Linked DNA regions of Elephas maximus indicus. The protein of the gene in region 3 purifies or fractionates together with the protein of the main gene of each other region. This does not show direct contact. Links are inferred from orthologs where the notes say so. Each region holds a gene or a part of one and is shown on either strand. Other genes may lie near its edges. The genes, in order: TOP2A, histone H2AX, SSRP1 and TRIM24.

Evidence for each region.
Region 1: the proteins of SSRP1 (region 3) and TOP2A fractionate together in Homo sapiens (co-fractionation; 3 studies listed by BioGRID and IntAct, with this or other methods). This does not show direct contact. The link is inferred for Elephas maximus indicus from reciprocal best matches to the Homo sapiens genes SSRP1 and TOP2A.
Region 2: the proteins of SSRP1 (region 3) and histone H2AX purify together in Homo sapiens (affinity purification with mass spectrometry; 4 studies listed by BioGRID and IntAct, counting the BioPlex papers as one, with this or other methods). This does not show direct contact. The link is inferred for Elephas maximus indicus from reciprocal best matches to the Homo sapiens genes SSRP1 and H2AX.
Region 4: the proteins of SSRP1 (region 3) and TRIM24 purify together in Homo sapiens (affinity purification with mass spectrometry; 3 studies listed by BioGRID and IntAct, with this or other methods). This does not show direct contact. The link is inferred for Elephas maximus indicus from reciprocal best matches to the Homo sapiens genes SSRP1 and TRIM24.

The regions. Positions count from the first base shown.
Region 1 is NC_064837.1:47,551,348-47,558,183, reverse strand, and holds the start of TOP2A (DNA topoisomerase 2-alpha), read left to right. Parts: upstream 1-3,811; 5' UTR 3,812-3,925; coding exon 3,926-3,946; intron 3,947-4,742; coding exon 4,743-4,898; intron 4,899-5,108; coding exon 5,109-5,199; intron 5,200-5,491; coding exon 5,492-5,555; intron 5,556-6,836. UniProt on the Homo sapiens protein: Key decatenating enzyme that alters DNA topology by binding to two double-stranded DNA molecules, generating a double-stranded break in one of the strands, passing the intact strand through the broken strand, and religating the broken strand.
Region 2 is NC_064835.1:11,567,118-11,573,223, reverse strand, and holds histone H2AX, read left to right. Parts: upstream 1-4,758; 5' UTR 4,759-4,820; coding exon 4,821-5,252; 3' UTR 5,253-5,595; downstream 5,596-6,106. Other genes in the region: DPAGT1 (UDP-N-acetylglucosamine--dolichyl-phosphate N-acetylglucosaminephosphotransferase), read left to right, coding at 1-42, 1,737-1,821, 2,442-2,630, 2,988-3,075, 3,242-3,397, 3,473-3,538. UniProt on the Homo sapiens protein: Variant histone H2A which replaces conventional H2A in a subset of nucleosomes. Nucleosomes wrap and compact DNA into chromatin, limiting DNA accessibility to the cellular machineries which require DNA as a template.
Region 3 is NC_064825.1:118,746,769-118,753,827, reverse strand, and holds the start of SSRP1 (FACT complex subunit SSRP1), read left to right. Parts: upstream 1-4,043; 5' UTR 4,044-4,178; intron 4,179-4,661; 5' UTR 4,662-4,782; coding exon 4,783-4,836; intron 4,837-5,260; coding exon 5,261-5,446; intron 5,447-6,305; coding exon 6,306-6,411; intron 6,412-6,691; coding exon 6,692-6,882; intron 6,883-6,961; coding exon 6,962-7,059. Other genes in the region: P2RX3 (P2X purinoceptor 3), read right to left, coding at 2,000-2,118. UniProt on the Homo sapiens protein: Component of the FACT complex, a general chromatin factor that acts to reorganize nucleosomes. The FACT complex is involved in multiple processes that require DNA as a template such as mRNA elongation, DNA replication and DNA repair.
Region 4 is NC_064826.1:11,560,883-11,568,217, forward strand, and holds the start of TRIM24 (transcription intermediary factor 1-alpha), read right to left. Parts: upstream 3,010-7,335; 5' UTR 2,781-3,009; coding exon 2,423-2,780; intron 1-2,422. UniProt on the Homo sapiens protein: Transcriptional coactivator that interacts with numerous nuclear receptors and coactivators and modulates the transcription of target genes.

The DNA.
Region 1 (6,836 bases), on a different chromosome or scaffold from region 3:
TGCTCACATGTAAGACACTATGCCCTACAACTCCCTGTGTGGTCTCAGACTGGTGCATAATAGATGCACAGTAATACTTGTTGGTTCACTGAGCCTCTATTCTACCCCACCTCACACCCCACCCTACCCCTGCTTGTGTCTCAGGCTTGCCTGGTGAGAGAGGCTTGGAGGGGCTTCCTGGAGCCCCCAGCCAAAATAAAAAGGTGATCTACACTGAGGTAGGTCTCTGTGAGGGCAGAAGAGGCCAGTGTCCCCAGGCCATTGCTCGCCTACTTTATGGCCATTCCTCCCTCTTTCTCTTCCACCTCCTTTTCCCCCCCAAAACAACATCCCCAAATATGCCTTGCTAATCTCACCTCCCACTCTTGGCTTTGAGGAGGCAGTGTGAGTAGTACAACACCTAATATACCCAGAATTATGTGATCTTGAATGTGTCTCTTCTTATATGTCAGTGAATCCTATGAAAATGTCTTTCTTCTCTCTGGATAAATAATTCCAGATGCCTCCCCATACTCTCTTCTCTCTTCTGTTTGCTCAAGACTTAAGCCAGTGGCATACCCTGCCATTCTCCTCATTCCTTCACATGCTCCATCTCTTTCAAAGTGCTCTGACAGAAGGGGATACTCCGTTCTCTGCTTTCTGCTACCCCTAGTACCTCCAGTACCACCAACCCGACACCTTCTAGCTCCAGGTAGCTCCCAGGTGGCAGAAGTAGGAGGGTGTCTACAGAGGTACCCCATGACTGCCCTGTCTCTGCTTCCAGAGGATGGACTTAGCCTGGCTCCCACCTCTCTGCGGAGCTCAGATGAGACATGTCAATGTAAGAGTGCCTCACCCACCCTACCCCCACCTCACTCTCAGCTCCCATCCTGGACCCGGTTAGTCTTGGCCTCCCATCCCACTAATGGCAGAAGATCTGAGATTGGGGAACTGAAAGAAAGAAAAGGTGTTGGGGAAGGTGCCCTCTTAGTATGTTCAGAGAAGGCCTGGTCTCCCTTGGGCTGTCTCTGACTTTGGGGCAATGAGGAAAAATGGGATGGAGAGCTCACCCCTCAGTCCCATTCCCACCCTCTTCCTTTGCAGGCTAGCTCCCTCCTCTGGCCCCCAGGAGTCTTAAGTAAAGGCTCTTCTGCCCCCTACCCCCACCATGGCCTCCTGGAACTGACTCCCCCTCCTTTTTTGCCTCTCAGGGCCAGCAGCTGACAGGTACCTGGAATTGCCTCTTTGTGGGCAATGCTTCCCAAGCCCACTCTTCCCAGACTTCTATCTCCTTCTTCAAATGCTGCTGCCAAATCCTGCAAGACCCTCTGCAGTAAGTTCTGGGAAGGAGACAGGGCTGGCAGAGAAACAGCTTGGGCCCAGAAAGAAGAAGAGGGACTGGGGGAGAAAGTGTCCAAAGCAAGACCATCCTGGGCTAGCAGGAGGGAGGAGGGTTATCCTAAGTGTTTCTCTATCTCATTCAGCCATCTGTACCTTTGATAATGACATGGGGAAACTGAGATTCAGGGAAAATTCTGACACAGGACTTTACTCCAAAGTCATTTTGGCTCCACAGTTCTGTTTCTGGGTTTCTGGAACTGAAACTCACACAGTCAGTATCAGATTAGGCTTCAGGGGAGACTTTAAACTGTACCCCAGAAAAAAGGGTAGAACTGTTGCCTCAGCCACAGATGGCATGAGCTACAATGTAGAGGCCAGGAGTGGCAGAGGCTAGACTGCCATCCTTGGGGAAGCACGGTAACTTCTCCCTCCTTATTCTCCTACATGACCGTCCACCCCCACCCTCTTGGGGCCTCTGTGTTCCAGGAGTCAGAAGGCAGCATGGCTGGTCTCTGACCGGCCGGGCCATCCTGAGTCCTAGAGAAACTGCAAAGAGTGGCACTCTGCCCCTGAGCCAGGGTCTGGCCAGCTTTCTGGGCAGAAGCTACTGGATGGGCTTCTCTACAACTGCTCTGAAATTCTGGTGGTCCCTGTGCAGCAAGGTTGTCTTCCCAGATCAACACAGAGCTGAAAGTAGAAACTCCTAGAAGTCAGGCAAAAACAACAACAAACCCATTGCCACCAAGTTGATTCCAACTCATAGTGACCCCAGAGGATAGAGTAGAACCGCCCCCCCATAGGGTTTCCAAGACTAAATCTTAGTGGAAGCAGAGTGCCACATCTTTCTCCTGTGGAGTGGCTGGTAGGCTTGAACCACCAACCTCTCAGTTAACAGCTGAGCACTCTAACCACTGTGCCTCCAGGGACCCATTAGAGGTCAGGAAAAAAAAATAGGATTAGAGGAACTCCACAGCTCCATTCCTTGGCTTTCTCAATCATCCTAGCCCTGTGGGCTACTTCTGGCTTTCTCAATCATCCTAGCCCTGTGGGCTACTTCTATCCTTCGCTTCCTAACACATTGCTCCCCACCCCCACCCCCACCCCCCGAAGTGTCCCTCCTCCTTGGGCTTTGCCAGCAGAGTAAACATTGGATGCTGGCTTTGTTTAACAATGGTCGGCCTCTGGTTTCTTTTACAATGAAAAAAAAAAAGAATTAAATCCACAAATTGTCATGCCAGCCTAAGGATAATTCCTGCTTCTCATTTTGATGTTGTTAGTCTACTATTCTAAACGCCTCACATTTATCTCATGTAATCTTCACACAACTCTGAGGTAATATTATTCCCCTTTTTAGCAAAGGAAACTGAAGGACCGGCAAGCTTCCTCCATCATCACACGACTGGCAAATTGCAGATTATTACTAAGGGAGAAATAATCGGAAGGAGTTGGCTCAGATGTAATTAGTAATCATCCTAATTGTGCGGTATTTTTTTCTAACAACTTGTAAGGGCAAAAACAATGGGGGGGGGGTTCTTTTTTAACTCTGGATTGACGAAGAAAGTATAAATCCAACCATTTAATTTATAAGTCAGAATTCGTTATCAATTTGGCATTTCCTAGTCAAATTTGAACGCCAGCTCTGCACTGCAGAATTGAATTCTGAGGACAGCAAAAGTAACAAGTACTAGGGCATCCTACTGGCAGTCTAAGGAAAAGATTTCAGTTCCAGAACGACCCCTAAATTTAAAACATATCTCTGCGAGACTGGCGGTGATTTATTCCAATCTTCTTATTTATCGGTTGCAGTCCGGCGCTGCACTAGTGGGGGACTTGAAGGCTGTCCTCTATTTTGCATGGCCTCTTTACAATCTTCTGTTAGGGAAACTAAAAGCCACAAGGATAGCACACTCGTTTCTTTGCAATTAAATTCCTGGGGGGAGGGGAGGTTGAGGCAGGCTCCAGAACTTGTTCGCTTAACCAAACCACTGGACTGCCTGTCCTGAAACCCCGCGCTTAGTTTCCTCAGGAAAATGGTGCTAAAATCCCTATTTCTCTCGCTAACAATCTCTGGACGGTTTTTAGATTTAGGGGCTCTGAATAGGTTAGTGATTCCCAGAAAATAAACAGCCTTCACGTTCTCCTTTCTTTTCGCTCTGAGCCGGAACCTCAAAAAACGCCTTCCACCTTCCACACCTCGTCTCTACGGAGTTTTCCGCGCCGAGAGGAAAAAATGACTTCTCCTCATTGACCAGATTCCCTGTCTGTCTCTCCGATAACGACTTGGAGTGGTGCCTTTTTGAAACCCTCTAGTCCCGCCTCCCTTGTCTAATTGGTTCATTCGAACAGGCCCTCAAACAACTCCGCCGTTCATAGGTGAATATGAAAGACCAGTGACGATTGGTTGTTCTCGACAGAGCCGGAGAGAGAGAGTCAGGGACTGGCTTATCCGATTTGGGCGGGCTAAAGGAAGGTTCAAATGGGGCAAGGTGCGCTCTCCTAACCGACGCGGATCTGTGGAGAAGTGATCTGGTGGTTCCCGGTCGTCTCGTGGCTTCCGCCGGTTTAGTCGCTTCCAGGGTTCTCGAGCCCCTTCACGATCGTCACCATGGAGGTGTCACCACTGCAGGTACAGCTCGCGGAGGGGCCCGGTCGTGGAGCCTCAGCGCGGTTCGGGCATCTCTGGCGACCCGTGAGGGGTGAGGGCTTCTGGGCCGCGGTGCGGCCCCGCGGCGGGCGGAGAGCCCCGGCTCTCCATTAGAGCTCCCTGAAGGGTAGGGAGCCCATATTCCCTGTGGAGCCCCACTCCCTGGGCTCTGGGTGATGGTGAGTAGGGCGAGCCCCCTTTGTAGTGCTAGTATTGAAGTACTACCGGCTAAACGGGCTTCCGGGGGGAGTGTTGTGTTTTAGACTGCTTCTAGGGACCGCATTCATTTCGGTCTGTGGTAGATCTGTACTCTAGTGGTCTGCGTGTGGCGTCAAGTAGCGCATCCATGCTTTCCTCTCTCCCCTCTGTGGAAAATGGGGTTGAATGTCGCTGATCTGGGAAGATGCTGAGGATGGCACGGGGTTCCCCATCCGAGGAGCCGGCAGACCCGACACGGTGGGAGGGGAACTCAGTAAATATTTGTGTAGCTGAACGAAGTGGGTGGATTTTAGTGATGACCTAAGGCAGTGTTCAAGGAAAATGTTTCCCTTCAGATGCACCTGGTGAGATAATACGTATGTTTATTGAAATTGACGCTGGCTGCAGTTAACTGTAATGGCCGTTTTGGTACAAAACTGAACTCCACCAATGCCTGCTAGAAGTTTGCAATTTGTTATAGTGGGTTTAAGTGTATCGTTATGATGGAGATTTTTTGTTCATAGTTTCTGATAAATCAATGATTAAAAATTCCTTTTCTCCCATTGTTTGAAATTGCTAGCCTGTGAATGAAAATATGCAAATCAACAAAATAAAGAAAAATGAAGATGCTAAGAAAAGACTGTCTATCGAAAGAATCTATCAAAAGAAAACGCAATTGGAACATATTTTGCTCCGCCCGGACACCTACATTGGCTCTGTGGAATTAGTGACCCAGGTAAAATCAAGCTAATGAAAAGCAGTTATTTAGTCGTTAAAATGTGTTCTTTCGCAGATTAACTTTCTATATCTCACGTAGTTTGTCACTGGAACTGGCCTTAGCGGTCATACATCTATTGTAGTGTTAATCCAGAAGGCTATGGTAATCATGATGGTAAAGCAGAATAAAGAATAAAAATAACTATATATTTTTTTGCCTTATTTCTAGCAAATGTGGGTTTACGATGAAGATATTGGCATTAACTACAGGGAAGTCACTTTTGTTCCTGGTTTATACAAAATCTTTGATGAGATTCTAGGTGAGTAAATTTTTTCACCTAAAGATTTATAAGTCAGATCTTTCACAGGTATCATTCCTATCAAACCCTTTGTTCCAGAGCTCCTGTGATTTTGAATAGTTGGAAAAAATGGGGCCGTCTCCTGGAGCCCAGGAAATTGAATTCTTTTCTAGAAACAGTACTGTGGACAAAAATTGCTAAATTAACACCTTGTTAATGCTACTCCTGTGCTATTTGGGAAATTTTTTCTACATGTTAAAGAATGTTTTCAAAAAATACTTTTCTTACAAATGTGTATTTTATTGTCTTTCAGTCAATGCTGCGGACAACAAGCAAAGGGACCCAAAAATGTCTTGTATCAGAGTCACAATTGACCCGTATGTCTTTTTGCTTAGTCTTTTGTTATATCAAATTGTTAGTGTTATTCCTAGTTGCATTTACTTTGGCTGCTAGTGAAGTTGGCTTTTTTTTTTAAATAAAAACTTTGCAAAAAAAATCAGAACATTAAAATGAACACCTACAGTACCCACCACCTAGATCCAACAGTTATTGACATTTTGTCATATTTACTCCATCTATATATATATTTTTTGAATCATTTCAAAATAAATTGCAGATATCATGACACTTCAGCCCTAAATACTTTAGCAAGCATCTCCAGTAAATAATTTCTCTAAGTATTCTGAAGCCTAGAGTTTTAACTTTTCTTCATGATGCTATTCAAATAATGAACCAGCAGATGGTGGTAGAGAATAGGTATAAATGCTGGGTGTCCCTTAGTGGGTGGTCAGGGTACTTGTTTTACCTTTTTATTAGCCTGGTCACTTGTGAAGTAAACTACACCTTAGGCTCTTTTTGTAAGTGTTAATGATGAAGTACTTGGATACTCCCAGGAACCTGATGATTGTCTTTCAGAAAATGTTAATTGAGCTAGTTTTGGTCTCTTATAGGTAATATTATGTCTTATTTAAAATAAGAATCATAGTGTGTGCCAGTTATAACGAAAATATATCCTGTCTTCTGAGAGTTAACCTAAAATAATAGTAAGTCCAACTTTTCAGCATTTTATTGGTAAGAAGTCTCATTTATGATTGATAATGTTTTTCCCTTTTATATTTGTTTTGCACTGTGACTTTTTGGGTGTATGTCTTAGATATGTAGTGCTGCTATAATAGGAATACCACAAATGGATGGCTTTAACAAACAAATTTATTTTCTCACAGTTTAGGAGGTTAGAAGTCCCAATTCAGAGCACAGGCTCTAGGCATAGGCTTTCTCTCTGTCAGCTCTTGGGGAAGGTTCTTGTCCATTTAGCTTGTTTCCTGGTTCTTTGGAGCATCAATCTTCCACCATCTCTGCTTCTCTAGCTTGCTTGTTTGATCTCTTAATATCTCAAAAGAGATTGAGTCAAGTTACGTTATACTAATCCTGTCTCATTAACATACAAAGACAACCCATTCCCAGGTGGGATTATAACCACAGGCATAGAGGTTAGGATTTGAGGGGGACACAACACAGTTCAATCCATAACAGTGAGAACGCTAAAGGAACTAGAGTACAGGTGATCCTCTTAAAATCAGTAAAATAATATTGTTTCCAACTTTTGTCTTTTTTTTTTTTTCCATTTGGAATAAATCATTTCCCTTTGTTTATGCTAA
Region 2 (6,106 bases), on a different chromosome or scaffold from region 3:
TTTCTGCTTCTATCATTGTCTTCAACCTGGTGGAGCTGAATGGTAGGTAGGATTGGGGGTAGGGAGAGAAAGAAGTCTGAGTGTTATATGGCTTTGGGGGATTCAGAAAGAAGCAATACGTGAGTCATTACAGAAGATAAGAGAAGCTATTTACTTTGAAAAGAATAACTGGTATTAAACATGAGAAAGAAAAACAGCAGCTCTGTCATCTATAGCTAAGCTGGCACTAATAGCTAGGCCACGATGTTCTCCTATTGAACATAAATAATGTCACAGTACCGCAGCATCAGACAAGGTCACTCTGTGACCATGATGGAGCAAGACAAAAACCAGACCCCTCCATAATCATGTTTCAGCACCAAGAAAACCATAAGAACACTGTGCAAACCACAAAAATGACCAAACATCCTGGCTAACAAAAGTGACTGTTGCTTCTTTCCAGGAACAATTCAGTTCCTCCTACCTTTTAGATAAAAACTATTAAGGTGTTCAATCATAGAATTACTCACTTTCTGACAGCACCCTGTCCAGAGCAAAACTGCTTCATTGCATCCTCTTCAAAGTGACTCAAAACAAATCCTATACTCAGAGAAGAAACTAGTCTACAGGACCAACAGTCTACGTGAACCGTGCCCTCATCTACCCTGAGACCAGAACTAGATGGTGTGTGGCTACCGCTAACAGCCGATCTGATCAGGGCCACAGTAGATGGATCCTGATAGAAGGGGAGAAAAATGTGGAATTGAACTCAAATTCTTAAGAACTCCAGACTTGCTGGATTGATGGAGACTAGAGGACTCCCTGAGACTAGCGCCCTGAGATACTCCATAAACCTTGAACTAAAACTCCCCCACAAGGTCACCTTTTAGCTAAATAACAGATGGGCCCATAAAATAAAGAATATTACCAGTGAGACTGTGCACCTTTAAAAAATCATGTATACAAGACCAAATGGTCAACAATTACTCTAAAGCAAACATGAAGGGATAAGGGGACGAGGAAACCAGATTACTAGAAACAAACCATCCAGAATGGAATTAACGAGAATGTGACACATTGTGAAAAATGTAACCAATGTTATTGAACAGTTTGTGTAGTAATTGTTAAATGGGAACCTAATTTGTGTGTGTAAGCTTTCGACAAAAACACAGTAAGATATTATTAAATCCTATAACAAGCCCCTCCTAACACCCTCTTAGTGAGGTGTCCCATGGTTCCCCATGGTGTGTGGCTTCCTCAGTCTCCTTTATTGCAACAAGTTAATGAACCCAACATTGATTTCAGTTGTTTCTGTTGGTCTATAGTTGATGGACATCAGCAAGTGCTTATTAGGGCTAAGCACTTTTTCAACATGATCTCATTTAAACCTCATAATAGCTCCATGTGGCAGGTGTTCTCCTCAGCCCTATTTTATGTGAGAAAACTGAGGCTTAGGGAAGTTAAATGTGTCATGATCAAAGGTCAGATAGCTAGGAAGTAAAAGTTCGTATTCAGACCTAGGTTTGAATGGCCTAAACCAGATCTAAGACAGTGACTAGGAAGGTTTCTTGAAAGAGGTGGGGTATCAAGAATTGCCTGGGTGACGTAGAGGGGTAGTGAGTGAGTTCTTGAAAGTGATTTGGGAGAGATGGACGATAAAGCTTGGGATGGAATTTAGAGGCAGACAAAAATAGGACCAAAGTATTGAGGAGAAGTGGCTACTTAACTTTCCCTTTCTTTTGTCCCTGCTCCCAAAGGTGAATATCGGGATGATCATGTCTTTTCCCTCTACTTCATGATACCCTTTTTTTTCACCACCCTGGGACTGCTCTACCATAACTGGTAAGTAGTAGGCCTGAGGATAGGGGAACAAGTATCTGAACTTGTGACAAGGATGGACCTATTCATGACCCACCTCCTGATGGAGTGGCTGCTTGTGCATACTTACGTTGAGTGTTTTCTGAGTCCTCGATTGGTAGTATTGTGAAATTGCTCTCTATCCAGCAGTAGTGCTGTGCGGCCCCAGGAATAGATAAATTCAGGGCCTTGGGTCCTGCAGAGTTGCTGGGAGAACGGGAATCTCCTCTGGAGTCTTCTCCAAGTCCGAACTGAACTAGTCCAGTGCCCAGGGTGTGAGGTGTGAGAAGAAGGGTTGATAACGCCCAGGGGTGGATTAACTGGTAAGCAAGGTATGCACAAGCGTACTTGTGCTTACTTACTAATCTGTAGTGCACAATTTCACATGAGTTTCACCACATCTTGATGTGAAATTGTGCACTACCAATTAGTAAGCATAAGTAAGCCCATGTGTACCTTGCTTACCGGTTAATCCGCCCCTGGGTGTTATCAACCCTTTTTCTCACACATCACGCCCTGGGCACTGGGCTAGCATTAATGATGCCTAATGTTAGAGGCATTAGTAGTGCCTCTTGCCACTGGCTTAGAGTCTTTCCCCCACACAGGTACCCATCACGGGTGTTTGTGGGTGATACCTTCTGTTACTTTGCCGGTATGACCTTTGCCGTGGTGGGCATCTTGGGACACTTCAGCAAGACCATGCTACTCTTCTTCATGCCCCAGGTGTTCAACTTCCTCTACTCACTGCCTCAGCTCCTGCATTTCATCCCCTGCCCTCGCCACCGTATGCCCAGGTAGCCACTTTGGGTACCAGGGTAGGAAAGGATAGGCATTGAAGCTTGGAAGAGACATCATAGCCTTTTCACTTGGGATATCCAAAGCGAGCCTTACACACACGCTGTGCAAAGGGAGTGGGCCCAAAGAAGGACAGACTTGCCATGCGGGTAGCCCTTTATAATTTACAAAGCACATTTACTTAGGTGATCTCCTTTAATGCTCACAGCAGCTCTGATCACACAGTAGTAAGCAGCAGAGCCAGACACAGATCTCAGGTGGACTCCAGATTCAGGGCTGTGCCTATTAATTAACCACTTTGGGAGGAGAGGTCTTTGAGTAGTGGGCCAGTCACATAAAGCTCTCTTCCCCCACAGACTTAATACCAAGACAGGCAAACTGGAGATGAGCTATTCCAAGTTCAAGACCAAGAGCCTCTCTTTCTTGGGCACCTTTATTCTTAAGGTAACAGGGTAACAAGGATGTAAGGCCCTAGGCAGCCATCCTGAAACTGGGGCGTGGGGACCCTAGGCATGCATCATATGCAGGGGGAATTTGGAAGCATTAGGCAAGTCCTCATTCCTAGAGCATAGGTATTAGCTGAGCTTCTCTCCACCTCTGGTCTTTCCAGGTAGCAGAGAGCCTTCGGTTAGTGACAGTGCACCAGGGTGAGAGTGAGGATGGTACCGTCACCGAGTGTAACAACATGACCCTCATCAACTTGCTGCTCAAAGTCTGTGGGCCCATACATGAGAGAAATCTCACATTGCTTCTGCTGCTACTGCAGGTGAGGTTGGGGATGGGGTCTACACCTTATCTCACTTTCTCCATGGTTCTTACTCCAGTCCATTTCTCCTGGCAGATCCTGGGCAGTGCTGTCGCCTTCTCCATTCGGTACCAGCTCGTCCGACTCTTCTATGATGTCTGACTCCCCTGATTATTCACCTCTATCTGCAGTCTCCAGGGTTCCTGACTCAAGAGGAGCTCTTTCTGGACCAAGGCTGCCTCCGAACCCAGGCCTCTCCCACCCTTTGTTGTCCTCCATGTTTGTTCTCAGCATTTCCTTTCCCTTGTGACCATTGACATGCTGGGCCATTATTGCCCTCTAATGACTGTTGAGGTTTGCCTGTGGCTTTCTTCAGCTTGCCACTCTCCCTCTCCATCCTGTCTTTGCAGCCTCTTGAGGTGGGACATGGCAGCTTTTATGCAATTATCCACAACTCAGCTTTCAGAGTCCTGACTTCCAAGGAATATGCTGGGCCTTGAGATAGAACCTGCGCAGGGGATAGGGACACATCTCCGAAGGTGACTTGACATTTAATTATAAATTAAGCGTTCTGATTAGTAAGAGCAGACTGGGTGGGGCTAGGTGCTCCCAATGGTGACAATAAAGTGATGTGTTTTCCTTGTTGTTCCTATGCGTGTATTTCTTATATGGGCATTTTAGAGTAGGATGAGAGTTTTGGTGGGGGCATTTCCCTAATAGGACGCCCGTCTTTTTGCTCCATCCTTTTTTCTTTCAGTACACCAGGCCCCTTCTAGCAAGAAGTGAACAGGAAGAACTGAGACCACACAGAACATGTTGAATAAATATTGAGATCGTAATACTTTAAGCGCTAATACTTGAGGGCCATAAGATTGGATTTATCTGTTTTCTAACATGGAGTCGAACTTCCAGGGTCTCATTTCTTCCCTTTTTCAATCTCCCTTTGCCAGATAGGAGGAGGGAGTGGGGAGTGAGGAGACAGAAGTAGTTTCAGTGTTGACCCTTTTCCTTTAAAAATCCTAGGCCAGCCCAGATTTCCCAGAGACGCTTTAGGAAGCTTCAAACTCCACCCCTTTTGTCTTCCGGTTCTGTTCCCCGGCCTTAGCGTTTAAATCTCGCGCGCTTCACATGCATTGGCTATATCACACCGTGGTTGGACGTCTGCGAGCCACCACTTCTCCTCGCTTTTTTACCCGGGCAAAAGGTTTTCAAATTCGGCCAATCAGCTGGCGTCGTTCCTCCGCCTAGGCGCGTCGCCAAAGGGTTAACAGCAACCAATCAGAGGCGGGTATTAGAGAAAAGGCCCAATCAGGAGGGCGTGGGGGCGGTGCGCCCTGGGGTTATAAAGGCGGCCCCTCGGCCAGGGGGGCAGCAGTTGACTGCGGCGGGGAGCTGGCCGGCGGCCTGTTGAGGCGTTCTCCAACGATCTACTACCTCGCGCAGCATGTCCGGGCGCGGCAAGACCGGCGGCAAGGCCCGCGCCAAGGCCAAGTCGCGCTCGTCGCGTGCGGGCCTCCAGTTTCCAGTGGGCCGGGTGCACCGGCTGCTGCGGAAGGGCCATTACGCCGAGCGGGTCGGCGCCGGCGCGCCCGTGTACCTGGCGGCGGTGCTCGAGTACCTGACTGCCGAGATCCTGGAGCTGGCGGGCAACGCGGCCCGCGACAACAAGAAGACGCGGATCATCCCGCGCCACCTGCAGCTCGCCATCCGCAACGACGAAGAGCTCAACAAGCTGCTGGGCGGCGTGACGATCGCCCAGGGAGGCGTCCTGCCCAACATCCAGGCCGTGCTGCTGCCCAAGAAGACCAGCGCCACCGTGGGGCCTAAGGCGCCTGCGGGCGGCAAGAAGACCACGCAGGCCTCTCAGGAGTACTGAGGGCGCCCGCCCGTAGCGGGGCGTCCCGGCCCTCCCCGTGCCACCACAACGGCCCTTTTAAGGGCCACCACCGCCCTCACGGAAAGAGCTGAGCCACGGCTGGCCCCGAGACGGGCGGCCCCGGCCCTCCGCTTTCCCCCGCGCCCTCGTCTCCCGCCGCCCAGGCCCCGCGCCCCGCCGGCCTCGCTCCCCTCCCGTCCCCTGCCCGCGCCCGCTGCCCGCCCCGGAGCCGGGGTGCAGGCCCTCGCCCTCGGCCGCGGGGAAAGGGACAGCCAGGCCGCGCTTGCAGGAGCCCGCGGCTGTTGGGACTCGGCTCTCGCGCCTGCGCGGCCTGCTTCGGCGGCGCTCTGGGGCGGCCCTTCGGCGCGTGGTGCCGGGGACGAGCGGGGCCAGCACCTGCTGTCCGTGCTCGCGGCTCGCCGCCGCCAGGCCCCGGACGCGCCGGAGCGAGGCGCGTGGCCGGCGGCGCCGCGGCCTGAAGGTGAGTCGGTTCGAGCAGCCAGCCCGGCCCCCAGCGGCTGCAGCCTCGTCCCCGGTACTCCTCCAGCTTGGTGCTCAGCCCAGGACCTCTGATTTCCAGGCTTCGACGGGAGAGAAGTCGGTCCCTAATTTGCTCTGGTGCCCCCCTCGCTGCCAAATCATGGGGCTTTCACATCAGATCCTCTCCGTCTTAACTCGCAGGCCTGTCCGGCGGGCCAGGGTCAAACTCGTCCTAAGGTGACCATCTTTTCTCCAGAGGTGGCTGCTGTTGGGGTTCACGGTTAGCGGCGTGGCCAGCACGAGTCGTGGATGTGCCTGCAAGACCGGCAGCCAGGCCTGCCCACTCCACCCTGATGTCCCTCCCGGCAACTCAA
Region 3 (7,059 bases):
CCTGTTCTTCAAACCCTGAACCATGGTTGAAATTTTACGTTTGTGGAGATTATTTGATTGACGTACATCTCTTGAGTTCATCTCTTGCATTATACTGTAAACTCCACAAGGATAAGGACCCTATCTATTTTTGCCTCCCATTCTATCCTCGGTTCACAATACCTAAGAAAGACTGCAGACATTTTTTTGCTAAATTAAGGACAATGGATTCCTGAAGTCATGGTGTTCACGGGTTTCTGTGCATGCGGATGGGGTTCCGGCAGGGGGTGGGGATGCAGAGCGCATTGATGTAACTGGAAGGAGCTGCTCCGTCGGGAGCTGTCAGGCTGCGAAATGGATGGGGTTGGATATCAAGATGCCAAAGAGCCTCTCCTGCTCGCTCCTGCAGGCTGGGCTCCAGCCCGGAGTATCAGATTGTGATGAGGAGAGACAAGGGCAGGGGGCCAAGAGGGCTGGTCCAGGAGCCGTCTGTCTCTATCTTCCATCTATCTCCTGCCTGAGGCCAATGGAGGTAGGCCAGTCCCAGAATATGCTGAGGCAGTTTTTGCAGTCACCTGGACCAAAATACCATCTCCTGGGTATACACAATTGCACAGTTGCATATACACACGAACACATAACGTTGAAGAACCAACGTTGGGTTGGGCTTTGGAGATGTAGACATGGAACATTTGCAAACATCATTATCTCACAACACCTCAAAGTTGCAAGGGAACCTCAAGGACATTTCATCCTTCCTTACACCTGAATCCCTTCTCTAATGTCCAGATGTACAGCCTTGTCTACAACATCCATATAACCAAAGCTCGCTGGCTCTCACAAGCACGCGAAGCAAAAAAAATCACTTCGTACACATCTACATGGCTTTCCACACACAGCCTCACACATTATCCCAATCTTTTGGGCAAGCAGACTCACTCGCATGAAGATTCCAGCCCACGTGCACACAGGAGTCCCATCTGACTTTCTTGAATGAACTCATGGCAGTTAGGCACCAGCTTGCTGCCTCTCCCACACAGACCCATTGTCTCAGGGAACAGCACGAGACTAGAGACACGCATATCAGAAAAGAAAACCCTTGAGGGGATTTCCTGGTGCCCACCAGTTTGTGGAAACGATCACGAGAAGGACAGATGCTGTGTTTCTTCCCCAGCCATTGTCTGCTCCATGGCCCTTTGTGTGTGGGGGAGCCTCCAAGAGGTGGGGGCCCAGAGGGGGCTCTTAAGCAACTCCCAGGATGGGCTATACAGCACAAACTCAGGTATAAGCAGGGACTTTATGCTTTCTGGCAAAGGGGAGCATTTCTAGATTTTTCGGGAGGGACTCCACACTATTTTCAGGAAAGTCACTTTTCTCTTCCACTCTTCTCTCGAGTATTATTTGTGCCCATGTTTCTCCCCCATACCCCAAGGGGCAGTTACCCCAGCTTTATCCTACTCTCCAAGAGTAGGGGCTTCTCCCCTTTCCAAGCTCTCTCACCATCTCCCCCATGCTAGGAGGGCAATCTCTCTCTTCTAAATGGACCCTTCCCTCCCAACTGACCCTCCGTTCCACCCTGCCACCAACCTGGTCAACTTGTCACTATCTCCCTTGTTTAAGGGTCTTCCCCTCCCCCTTCCTGGGCTCCCTTATCTTTTGAGACCCCAAATAGTTGACCAAGGGGAATGAGAGGATGTAAAGGGGGGGGTGGTCTGCCTGTTACCTAAGGGGCAGATAAGGGAATGGGGGAAGACAGATGGATCACCAGGGATCTCTCCTGGTGGAGGAACCCACTCCTCAGAGTGTGTGTCTAGGAACCGCTCTCCAACCCTGGAGGATTTACTGGGGTAAAGAACCCACCTGGGGACCAGATCCTGGGTGGGGGTGGCAGAGGCCAGTCCTTTAGGGCATGGCTCCCCAGAAGAAACTGTTTCCCCCCAGAGGGGAGACGCTCAGAAAGCTGGACAGGAAACTTTCAGTTGGTCCTCCCCTCCTAGGACCTCAAGGGCCACACACTCACCCCACAAAGTAAGAGATGATCAGAAGCTGAACAGCCCGGTTGATGATCCCAATAGTCCAGCTCTTCACAACCACCGACTTGGTGGTCTCATAGGTGAAGAAGTCTGATATGCAGTTCATGCTGAGGGTGTGCACAGGGGCCACCCAGAAGGAGCCAAACAGCAGCCTCAGGAGGGAGGGGTCTTCAGGGCAGGGAGACAGAGATGGTGGCCTGGATGGGGCAGCTGAGAGAGGGTTGGGGACGGGGAGCCTGTTCTTTTAAGCCCAGTGCCCAGGCTCTCTCTGCTATTGACAATCTGGGCTGCCAAGAGTCTAGGGCCAGGGCGGAGGACCCCCTTTTTGTTTGTCTCCACCCCACTCCCCCGTGATGTCACGGCAGGGGTGGGTCTCCAGTCCTGGGCTCCTGATTGCCTGGGATGCAGCTGGCTAGTAGGGTCCTCTGGGACTCATGTTTTATCTGCATTCTGTCTACAGTTTCTGTTCCATTCTCCTTCACTGCAGCTCACCGCTTTCTCTAAAGCCCCTTGCAATGTCCCATCCCCCAGCCACTTCACAGCCTCCCTTAGCTGAGTAGCCCCTTCATTCCTGAGTGTATGCCTAAAGCTACCCAATTCTGCAGCCATCCCCTGCCTTCCCAGTTGCCTCCAATAGCATGGGATGGGGGCGGGGGGAGGGTCTCTTGCACGGTCTCTTGGAAGGGAGTGAGTACAGAATCACACATTTCTAACTCCAGTTGGCAGTAACTGAAGCTTTACCTGTAGCATGGCAGTTATCACATTTTTTTTTTTTTTAGTATGTGAATCATTCATTAGATTACGTGTTCCTGGAAGGTTGGGGCTACTTCCATCTTGCTCACCAGTTTGCTGGAAGCCTAGAAACATGTTGGGTTAATAATAAGCCCTTATATTGGATTCAATTGAATTTATGTTTCTAGATTGTGCTGGAACAGCCACTACACAGAAGTTAAAGGTATGAGTTCAGGTGGCATTGGTGCATTCCTGTCATCTCAATCCCAGGACAGAGTGAGCAAGCTAGCTGTTTTCAGTCAGATTGTTAGGGAAACCTTGAATTTAAATATTCTGTCCTAATGGGTTGTTATGAGTTGAAGTCCTCGACTGCAACAACTTTGGTTTTTTCGGTCCTAATGTCATGCAGGGCACGTTATCAAGTATTCTGAATGCAGCATCACTGTCATTATGACTGACTGGACTGGGGTAAGGAGATCTGGGTTTTAGTCTCCAGCTTCCTCACCAGCTCACTGAGACCTTAAGAACTCCTTTTGGGGCCTCGGTTTTTCTAACTGCAAAAGGAGGTTGGATTAGATGAACTGAAACATCTCCTCCCGGTCTGGTCTCTGATTTTGCAACATGCACCTTGGGACTATATGAGAAGGGCCTAGCTTTCGCAATCCGGGACTGATGGGGTTTCAAATCAGTTCCGGCTCCAAGGTGAATCTGACACCAGCACTTGAACTTGATATGGCCGTTTGCCAGCCTCTTCCAGGAGAACATAAATTGCAGTTATGGATGTGAGGTTTTCGGGTGCAGGCAGTGAAGTCACTTCAAAAAGGGACCAATCCCACTTGACAGGACACAGCTAGAGAGCAGTACGGTCACAAGGACACCAACACCAGCATTCTCTTTGCATCTGGTGGGAAGGGTCATTTCTCTCCATGAGCTTTAAATATTTTTCTGCTTCTTTCACAGACTCTTTTGTACTCCACAGAAACCCCTACTGTGCAGGAGAGAGATAGGGGCATGCATCGTTCCAACACAGACACACACGTGTGTGGAGAGTCTGATGAAGTAAAGCTCCACAACTTCCCTTTAGAACCTAGTCCTCCACGGAAAGGGTGTCTGTAGCTTTCTAAAGACCCCATGTGCCTCCCTTTTCTAGTTGAATTCCACGGCGTAGGGCGCGCCGACGCACTGCGCCCTCACCTCCCACAGGTCCTCCCGAGCTGGGGACGCTCTATGTGACCGCCTCACAGGCGGGCCTGGATCGCGCCCCTCTAGCCGGCTCCTCCTCTCTATGTTCTGTGCGCGGCTTCCGGTGGCGGGACGCGGGGACGCGCACGCGGGAAAAGCATCCTCTGCGTTTCCCCTACCCCCTTCCCCCCTCTTGCGTCCCCCAGCGCGCCCACCGCCCGTGCCGGGGCCCTAGCGAGGCTAGAGCTTGAGGTAGGTGGCCGTCGACCTCGTGCCCCAGGAGGTCGCGGGCCTCGCTCCCCCGCGGGACTCTCCGGATGGTTCGTTCCGCGTTCGAATCCGCGGGAAGCGGGCGATTCCATTTTAGGAAACGGGGGGAGCCGTGGGGCTGGGGCGGCAAGGTGGGAGCGCTGGAAGGGAAACCCTGCATCCTGAGCTGTGATGGGGGGAGGTGCAGGCTCCGAGCAGACTTTGGGGTTCTGCTGCTCCTTGCCATGGTGCCCAGTGGGGCGCCCAAGCGGATGTTTGGTTGGCGTGTAAGCACTGTTCTAGGCCCAGTTCCCCAGCCGAGTCTGGGCCTTGCCCCTGGAGCTGTGCACAGTCTGCCCGTGGGGGCTCCCAGGCGGAGCAGATCCTGAGACATCACAGGCGCAGCCAGGGTTTGCCACTTGGTTCCAGTGGAGAGCATAGTGAGGTGTTGTCTCCTATGTTTATCTATCCCCCTCTTGAATTCAGATCCTTAACCTGCTGAGCATCTATACAACCACCAAGGAGTTGGGGCCCAGCTCCCATTTTCTCCTGTTCCCCCTTGTGCAGCCTAGGGCCCTGTGCCCAGGCCAACAGGGGCCAGGTCAGCATGGCAGAGACACTGGAGTTCAACGATGTCTATCAGGAGGTGAAAGGCTCCATGGTGAGAAGGATTGGGCTTTTAATACAGGGGGAGGGAAGGGGAGGGAAGTAGCGTTCTTCTATTAATAAGAGCTTGCTTTGATGACGTTACTAGTGTGGCAAAGGAGGACTCAGAATATTATATGTACCTGGTGTTTCCCCAACAAAAGGCAGTACTGAGCAGAATTCCTAGAGTAAAAGGATCGCAGCCTAAGAAGGCATCTTAGATGCTGTTCAGTCCCAAGTCCTTGTTACAAATGAGGAAACTAAGTACCTGCAAGGGTTCTGGGTGCCAGAGTCAGGATTAGAACCCAGGCTTCTTACTGGCCCTCACCCCTTCAGCTGTTGCTCCTACATTGATACCCCGCCAGCCCACCAGCCGCAGAATGGGGCATTGGTGAGACTGCACATTACCATCTGTACCTCTGGGCCTATTTTTCTGACAGAATGATGGTCGACTGAGGTTAAGCCGCCAAGGTATCATCTTCAAGAACAGCAAGACGGGCAAAGTGGACAACATCCAGGCCGGGGAGTTGACAGAAGGCATCTGGCGCCGTGTTGCTCTGGGTCATGGACTTAAACTGCTCACAAAGAATGGCCATGTCTACAAGTATGACGGCTTCCGAGAGTCGGTGAGCTGCCCTGTTGTGATAAATCCCGTTTTTGCTGTGCTGTTTTGTTTGTTTTTAATCTTTTGGAGAGAATTGGGCATCCTTTGTCTGATAACCATGTAATTGCTATTTTGGGCTCCTTAGAGTGAGGCCAGAGGTTCCTAAGTGGTGCAGACTGTCTGTGCTTGACTACTAACCCAAAGGTTGGAAGTTTGAACCCATACAGCTGTGCTTCAGAAGAAAGACCTGGCCATCTGCTTCTGTAAAGATTACAGCCTGACAAACCCTGTGGAGCAGTTTTAGTCTGTAACACATAGGGTCTCCTTGAGTTGGAATTGAAGGCATTGGGTCTGGTTTTGACATTTAGGGTGGGGCCGTCAAGGACACCAAGCAGTCAGTACTCAACCTTGGGTATTGTGTCTTTGTGCCTCAATTCCAGAAGATGTTCTCTTTTGATTTAGGTGATGGCTGCTCTCACTCACTGCCCTTATTCAGGTTTAGAATCTTAGCTTGATGCTTTAGTTTTAGTTTTGATTTTCCATTTTGATTTGCTTCCTAACCAAGACTTTTCCTCGTTTTAATCTTTACTTTTACTAAGGTGATATCCATACTGAGTTTAAAAAGTCTGATAGCACTGCCAGGCTCATAACCAGGAGTATCAGTGCCTAGCTTTACCCCTCCCCCAGCATGAGATCCGTTCCCCAGAAGTAGGTTCTTTCAACATTCTTTAAAACTCTTACTGCTGAGACTGAATCAGCGTAGGTTTCTGATAAAGAGTATATTAGGGTAATTTCTCAGAGATAGATCATTCCGGGACATTCAAGTCTGTTTAGGAACACTGGGGTTTACTGGGCTCAATCTCTCTCCCTTCCACCCACAGGAGTTTGAGAAACTCTCTGATTTCTTTAAAACTCACTATCGCCTTGAGTTAATGGAGAAGGACCTGTGTGTAAAGGGCTGGAACTGGGGGACGGTGAAATTTGGCGGTGAGTCCTGGGTAGAATGACGTTTGGGGGAAAAGGTAGGATGAAGGCGTATAGCCTTTAACTTGCTTGGCTCTCTTTCCTCCTCATTGTCTCTGGTTTCCTATCAGTTTGTGTGTTGTTTTTGCATTTATTGAGCACCTCCTAGTACATCAGGCATTGGGGTACAGCGTGAACAGAATAGCCCCAGTGCTCTGACCTCACATTACTTACAGTCTGGTGGGGACGTTGTTCATGCAGGCTCCAGGGAGGAGCTTGTGACTTGATAAGTCCTCCCCCACAGGACAGCTGCTTTCCTTTGATATTGGTGACCAGCCAGTGTTTGAGATACCCCTCAGCAACGTGTCCCAGTGTACCACAGGCAAGAATGAGGTGACACTGGAGTTCCACCAGAACGATGACGCAGAAGTCTCTCTCATGGAGGTGCGCTTCTACGTGCCTCCCACCCAGGAGGATGGTGTGGACCCCGTTGAGGTGAGCCCTCCCCTGGATTCCTTGGGGGCGGGTGGTGCTGAGTGGGCCTTGCCACCCAGTAACCAGTATGCTTTTGCAGGCCTTTGCCCAGAACGTGCTATCCAAGGCAGACGTGATCCAAGCCACAGGAGACGCCATCTGCATCTTCCGGGAGCTGCAGTGTCTGACTCCCCGTGG
Region 4 (7,335 bases), on a different chromosome or scaffold from region 3:
ATGCGCCTTCATTGCTGTTATGGGTTGTACTGTGTCCCTCAAAAACACATGCTATAAATCCTAAACACTATTCTTGCAGACGTAATCCCATTTGGGATTACGGTTTTGTTATGTTAATAAGGCTAAATTAGAGTAGGGTATGTCTAAAACCTAGCCACTTTTGAGATATAAAAGTGACTACTGTATTTTCACTCAAGTCAACTAGTTACATGTTCTTTGCAGACCATGCACAAGACTGTTTTCATAAATGCACTATACTAAATTTTTTTTTTTTTTCAGCAACGTGCATAAAAATATGGTAGGCACAAAAAGTAAAAAAAGCACAAAGGAGAAAATACATGCCAAGGGGAGACAGCCAAGGAGTGAAGGAATGCCAGGTCTACAGAAAGTCAAAGAGAGTTCCCCTAAGAGGTGATATAGAGAGAGTCTTCTCCTAGAGCCGGTGCCTTGAATTTGGACTTCTAGCAACCTATACTGTGAGAAAATGAATTTCTGTTCTTTAGAACCACCCACTTGTGGTATTTCTGTCACAGCAGCATTAAGAAACAATTGCCTGATCCATTATATTGTTAACTCTATTGTCTTGCTGTATCATATATAATGAATCCCGAACTGACTTCCCTATTAATAACCTTAACATTATTCCAATAACACAGAAAAAATGCTTTGATTATCACAGGCAGTTATCAACTGCAAAACCAAACTGCAAAAAAAAAACAACTGCAAAGCAACCATTAAATCCTCTCTCTAAAGCAGTACTAGATCATAGAATAGTTGGAGATTACCTCTCACAGAACACGGTGGTGTATGTTGCACTCACATAAATAACTTTAGTAGAAAAAGAAATATGAGCAATACAAAAAAATCCAGACTGGCTAAAAAAAGGTGAATCATATTCTAGCCCACTTGATCTTTTCAGTGGATTTAAGTCCATGGGGCCCTTAACTCAGAGGAATCTTAGAAACTCTAAAGAATTACCCTCATTATAGTTCTTGTTACAATCTCCCTAATAAGATGTGTTTGCTAAAAAGTCTTAAATGTTTTTCAACAGTGTCACATTCAACAAATGATTGCCATTCCTCTGTAACAACAAGTATGTAGCAAAGAAGCCACAGATGCTGCGATGTCATACCTAAGTAGAGCAGACAAATTAAAAAAGAAAACGACTTGCCTGAGGGTGACTGAGCAACATGTCCATTTGGTCACATCTTCAAGAAACACTCCTGAAGAGATGATCAAAAGGGGGGAGTTGTTACATATTTTTATAGAGGCAAGAATTAAAATGGCTCCCCTGGGTCAAGAACCAAACAAAAATCAAAAAGCCATAAGAAACAACTTTATGCAGAATCTAAATTTAGACAAGTTTTCTTTATCAGCATTAGTTAGCAGGTTAGCAATACTTATCAGCATGAGTTAACAGTCATTCAATTAAGAAAAACCAGCTTAGCATTCAGTGAGGAACTTTCCCAAAAGAAAAAAATTAAAATGTGATTAACCAATCAGAGCAAAGAGCAATGTTAACTGTATAAACTCAAGCCCCCTCACCATTTTTAGTTTGGGGTGCTCCCAGTTTGTGAACAGTTTCTTACTCAATAAACCCTGTTAACTTCAATTGACTTGGTGATCAAATTTTTCTTTCCAACATTATTCAAAGTAATTTTTCCAGTTACTTTGTACTTTTTGAAGAGGTGTTCGAGTATTTTCAATATTAAATTTTAAAAACCCTAGAGGCACCGAAAGGTCACAGCCTTGAAAGCCCTATGGAGCAGTTCTATTCTGCGTACATGGGGTCGCCACGAATGAGAGTTTATCTGACATCAGCTAACAAGTCTATTAGAAGAAACAATCACTGCGCTTGTAACTTACTATAAATGTTTCAAACCTGTTAACATTAGCAGTGAGAACTGCCTGTCAAAAGTCTCATTGTACAGTAACAAACACCACAAAAAGATAACCACCGTAACTTCAACATTTCCAGATGTGGTCTACAAAACACACACAAAAAAACCCGGCGCCTCAAATCGCTCTGGATTGTTCCACTCCTTTCAAAATAAAATCTTCGAAAGAGACACGACAACAAAACCCCGGCTCTGGGTTCCTTTGTCCCCATCGGAGGGGACGCGTGGAGGTAACGGACCCAAACGTGCGAGATAGGAAACAGACGGCACCCAATCTGCGATCAATCATCCAACAAAGTCCCCGTCCCCGAGTCCTCGCCTCCCCCTCCCCCTCCGGCTCCGGCTCCGGCTCCGGCTCCAACGACGCTGGTCTGCACCGGGCGACTGGGATCGCAGGCACCGGGACAAAGCTTCGGGGACGCGGCGGCGAGCACCGGCCACAGGACGGCCCGAGCGGGCTGCAGAGCGCGGTCGCCGCCGGCCGCCCGCCCGCCCCCGCCCCCGGACGGCGACCCCTCCCTCACCTTGGGTGGCGAAGGGCGACGCTCCGGGCGGCGACCCGGGCGCCGGCGCGGGCGGCGGGGTGTCGGCGGGGCCGAGCAAGGGCGCGGGCAGCATGAGGAAGCGCTGCGGCGCGGGCAGGCAGCGCTGGCAGAAGGAGTGCAGGCAGGGCAGCAGCTTGGGCGCGCGGCTCTGGATGTTCTGGTGGCACACGGCGCAAGTGTCCAACAGGTTGAGCCGGGCCGCCTCGCCGCCGCGCTCCGAGTCCGGGCCCTGCCGGCTCTCGGCCTCGTTCTCCCCGCTCGGCGCCGCCGCCGGGCCCCCGGAGGCCGCCGCCGGGCCCGCAGCGCCCGCCGCCGCCTTCTCCACAGCCACCTCCATTGTCCTGCCCCCGCCGCGCCGCCGGGGAGGGAGCGCCTCCGCCCGCCCGCCGCGACCTCCGCCGCCTCAGGCCGCCTCCTCAGGCCACCGGGAGCGAGCGCGCGGGCGAGTGACGAGGGAGGCCGAGCGGCCGCCTCAGCCGGCCCGCCTCCAGTACGCGGCCGGAAGCAGGGTCTGTCAACGGGGACCGGTGCTCGCGCCGGGCGCTGCGCCCTCCTCCTCGCCAACCGCCGCCCGCCCCGCCTTTCTCCCGGCCGGCCCGCCGGCCCCACCCACCGCCGGCTCAGCAACGAGCGCTGCACGGCGCGCGCCGCCCAATCACCGCCCAGCCTGGGGCGGGGGCGGGGCGGCGGGGCCCGCGAGGCGCCGGCGGGAGGTGGAGGGGGCGGGGCGCTCCCCGGCCCCGCCCCCGAGCTGCGCGGCCCGCGGCCTCCAATTGGGCCTAGGCGGGGCTGCGCTCCGGTGCGGAGACGAGGGCGCGTTTGTTAGCCGCGGAGCTCTTGATTGGGCCTGCCTGTGTCGGCTCCTCCTGGGGGCGTAGCCTGGCTGCTCGTTAACCAGCAAGCTCCTGATTGGGCCCGCCGGAGTCAGCCCCGCCTACGGAGCGGTGCCTGCCTCTAAAAAAGCACACTGCTAATTAAGTAACTGCTTCAAAAACTCCGGTTTTCTCCTGCATGTGGGGCTGCTGTACCCACGGCTGTCATCGAGTGGATTCCGACTTTTAGCGACCTTGTAGGACGGAGTACAACTGCCCCATAGGGTTTCTAAGGCTGTAGTCTTTGGTGGGGGGGTAGATTGCCACATCTTTCTTCCGCGGAGCAGCTGGTGGGCTTGAACCACCCACCTTTTGGTTAGCACCAGAGAGCTTAACGCTGCACAACCAGGACTCCCTAAGCAAGGATTAAATATGGTAGGAGACGAAGAGTTAGTGAAAATAAGAGGAAAAAAATTTTTTAAGTAAAAATAGTGTGCAAAAAGGATACTGTGGAGGCAGCCTTCATTTGCAGCCTAAATTTACTCCCCTCTCTGTCGAGTGAGGAAACCCTGGTGGCATAGTGGCTAAGAACTAAGACTGCTAACCCAAAAGTCAGCCGTTCGAATCCCCCAGGTGCTCCTTGTAACCCTATGGGGCAGTTCTACTCTGTCCTCTCTGTCCTCTGGGACTTCTATGAGTCAGAATCAACTCCTTGGCAGTGGATTTGGTTTTGGTTTGCTGATGAGTGATAGGAGCCCTGGTGGCACAGTGGTTAAGAGCTTCATCGCTAACCGAAAGACCAGTGGTTCCAGCCTACCAGCAGCTCACAGACAGGACTAGGCTGGAGCAGGGCTGGTCCGCTCCCCCTCTTACCCCTCTCACCTGCCTCCACATAGGCCAGGAAGAAGTCAAGCAGGACACAGAGTGGAATAAACAACCTGCCCTACTGGCACGTGGTGCAACTGTAACCCACCTGCTGGAGAGTGGAACAGAACACACACAGGCCCTGTGGGGCAAAATGTTCCCGCTGTGGGGTGGAACAAATGGAGGTGTTCTAAAATGTTGCAAATAAACTGTTAATGTAGATCTTGCAGGACTCCACCGATACAGAGTGTGTGCAAAAGAAGAGCAACCACTGTTTGACGTTCCCTTGCCTGCCAAAGGGGGCAATGTGTCAAAGGGAACCAGTGTGCCTGCATCACATCCCATAATGAGTTATGTCAAGGGGAACCAAAGGACTTCCATCCTGAAGAAATCCCGCATGCGCACCTGCATTTTCATAACCCAACCCCTCCTCAGAAATCTCCCCCCCTCCCCCCAAGAACCTCATGAATTAACATCAATACCCCTTCTTTTTGAAACCCTTGAATACTTGGCTCTTAGGCAAATCCAGGAGACAGTTTCTCTGAAGGTTCTAGCCCTTACTGTTTCCTTTTGCTAGCTGCTGGGAAAATAAATACGCTTGGGCGACTCCAGGCTGCCTCGATAGTCTTAGTGGGCGTTGCGAATCCAGTTGGGTTCAATCAAGCAAGGGGCCCTCGGCAACAGCTCCGTGGGAGAAAGACATGGATGGCAGTATGCTCCTGTAAAGGTTTACAGTCTTGAAAACCCTAGGCGGCAGTTCTACTGTCCTACAGGGCCGTAATGAGTCGGAATCCACTGGACGGCAATAGGTATATCAGGAGTTACACACCTTTTCATTCAATGAAACAGTCAAGATTTCAAGGAGCTTGAAATGTAGCGACAGGATGTAAGAAACAATCTTTTGTGCACCCATGAATGTTTAAAAAAAATTTTTTTTTTTTTAAGTACAAATGAAATAGTAAACCAAAAAACTCGGTCACATGGGTCAGAGTAGAATTCTGCTCCATAAGGTTTTCATGGTTATGACTTTTCCTTCAGAAATGCCTCTGGGTTGGTGGGTTCCAACTGCTAACCTTTTCGTTAGTAGCCCATTGCTTAACTGTTTGGGGCACCCAGGGACTCCAAATGAAGTGTTGGTGTTGTTGTGGGCCGTTGAGTCAATCTGACACACATCGGCCCTACATGACAGAGTAATACTACCCCATACGCTTTCCTAGGCTGTAATAAGGTTTCCAAGGAGCAGCTAGTGGATTTGAACTGCCAACTTTTTGGTTAGCAGCCAAACGCCTAACCACTTGGCTGCCAGAGCACCAGTCTTTATGGGAGCAGACTGCCAGGTCTTTCTTCCAAAGTACCATCGGGTGGCTTTGAACGGTCGTACTGGGTCTTAAAAGAAAATAGGATGAGGCCAGGAAAGGCTTTGCTGAGACTGAGCCTATCCTGGAAGAATCCATGCCGATGGGTAAAGGTGGACTCTGGGCATCTAAGCCCTCCCAGGAGACATTCTCCATTACTCTCCTCCTGCTAGCCTCTTTCCTAAGCAAGGCCTCAAATTCAGTCTGCAGAGTGAAGTTCCCCTACACAATGGCGCTCGGTGTCTACTTATTAGGTACGGCACAGATTTCCTGCACCTTAGTTTGCATGAGTCACCTGGGAAGCTTCTTTAAAAGAAGATTCTAGAGCCTGTCCCTTAATTCAATTTAGCAAGCAACTCCTACAGTTCTGATCTGGGTGGTCCCGTACCATCCTTATAGAAAGAGACCTACCTATGCCAAATTTCTTAGCCCACCTACCAGTCCCTTAAGGGCCCCTCGTGGTGCAGTGGTTAAACACTCAGCTACTAACCTGAGCTGGAACCTGCCGTTGGAACCTACTCAGCAGCTCCTTGAGAGAAGGACCTGGCAATCTGCCGCCATAAAGATTGCCGCCTAGGACGCCGTATGGCGCAGTTCTACTCTGTCCTATAGGGTCGCTATAAGTTGGAATCGACTCGACGGCACTGGGGTCTGGGTATATTGACCATCCAAAGGCATTCGACTGTGTGGATCATGACAGATTATGGATAACATTTCCAGAGAATGGGAATTCCAGAACACTTAATTGTGCTCATGAGGAATCTGTACATGGATCAAGAGGCAGTCATTCAGAAAGAACAAGGGGATACTGCCTGGTTTAAAGTCAGGAAAGGTGTGCATCAGGGTTGTATCCTTTCACCATACATACTCAGCAATCTGTATGCTGAGCAAATAATCCTTGAAGCTGGACTATATGAAGAAGAACAGGGCATCGGGATTGGAGGAAGGCTCATTAACAACCTGTGATATGCAGATCACACAACTTTGCTTGCCGAAAGTGAAGAGGACTTGAAGCACTTACTGATGAAGATCAAAGACCACAGCCTTCACTATGGATTATACCTCAACATAAAGAAAACAAAAATCCTCACAACTGAACCAATAAGCAACATCATGATAAGCGGAAAAAATATTGACGTTGTCGAGGATTTCATTTTACTTGGATCCACAATCAATATCCACGGAAGCCGAAGTCAAGAAATCAAAAGACAAATTGCAATGGGTAAATCTGCTGCAAAAGACCTCTTAAAGTGTTGAAAAGCAAAGATGTCACCTTGAGGTCTAAGGTGCACCTGACCCAAGCCACGGTGTTTTCAATCACCTCATCATATGTATGCAAAAGCTGGTCAGTGAATAAGGAAGACTGAAGAATTGAAGCCTTTGAATTGTGGTGTTGGAGAAGAATATTGAATATACCATGGATACCAAAAACAATCAAAACTGTCTTGGAAGAAGTACAACCATAATGCTCCTTAGAAGCAAGGGTGGCAAGACTACGTCTCACGTACCTTGGACATGTTATGAGGAGGGATCAGTTCCTGGAGAAGGACATCATGCTTTGTAATGTAGAGGGTGAGTGAAAAAGAGGAAGACCCTCAAAGAGGTGGATTGACACAGTGGCTGCAGCAATGGACTGAAGCATAACAAGGATTGTGAGGATGGTGCAGGACCAGGCAGTGTTTCGTTCTGTGGTGCATAAGGTTACTAGGAGTTGGAATCGACTTGACAGCACCTAACAAGCTAACAACAATATTTATACATGTACGTGTGTGTGTGTCTTAGCTATCCATGATGTAACTTTTTAAATGTGACTATAATAATAAACAGTGATTGAACACAAAAGTAGCACATGCCATTTTAG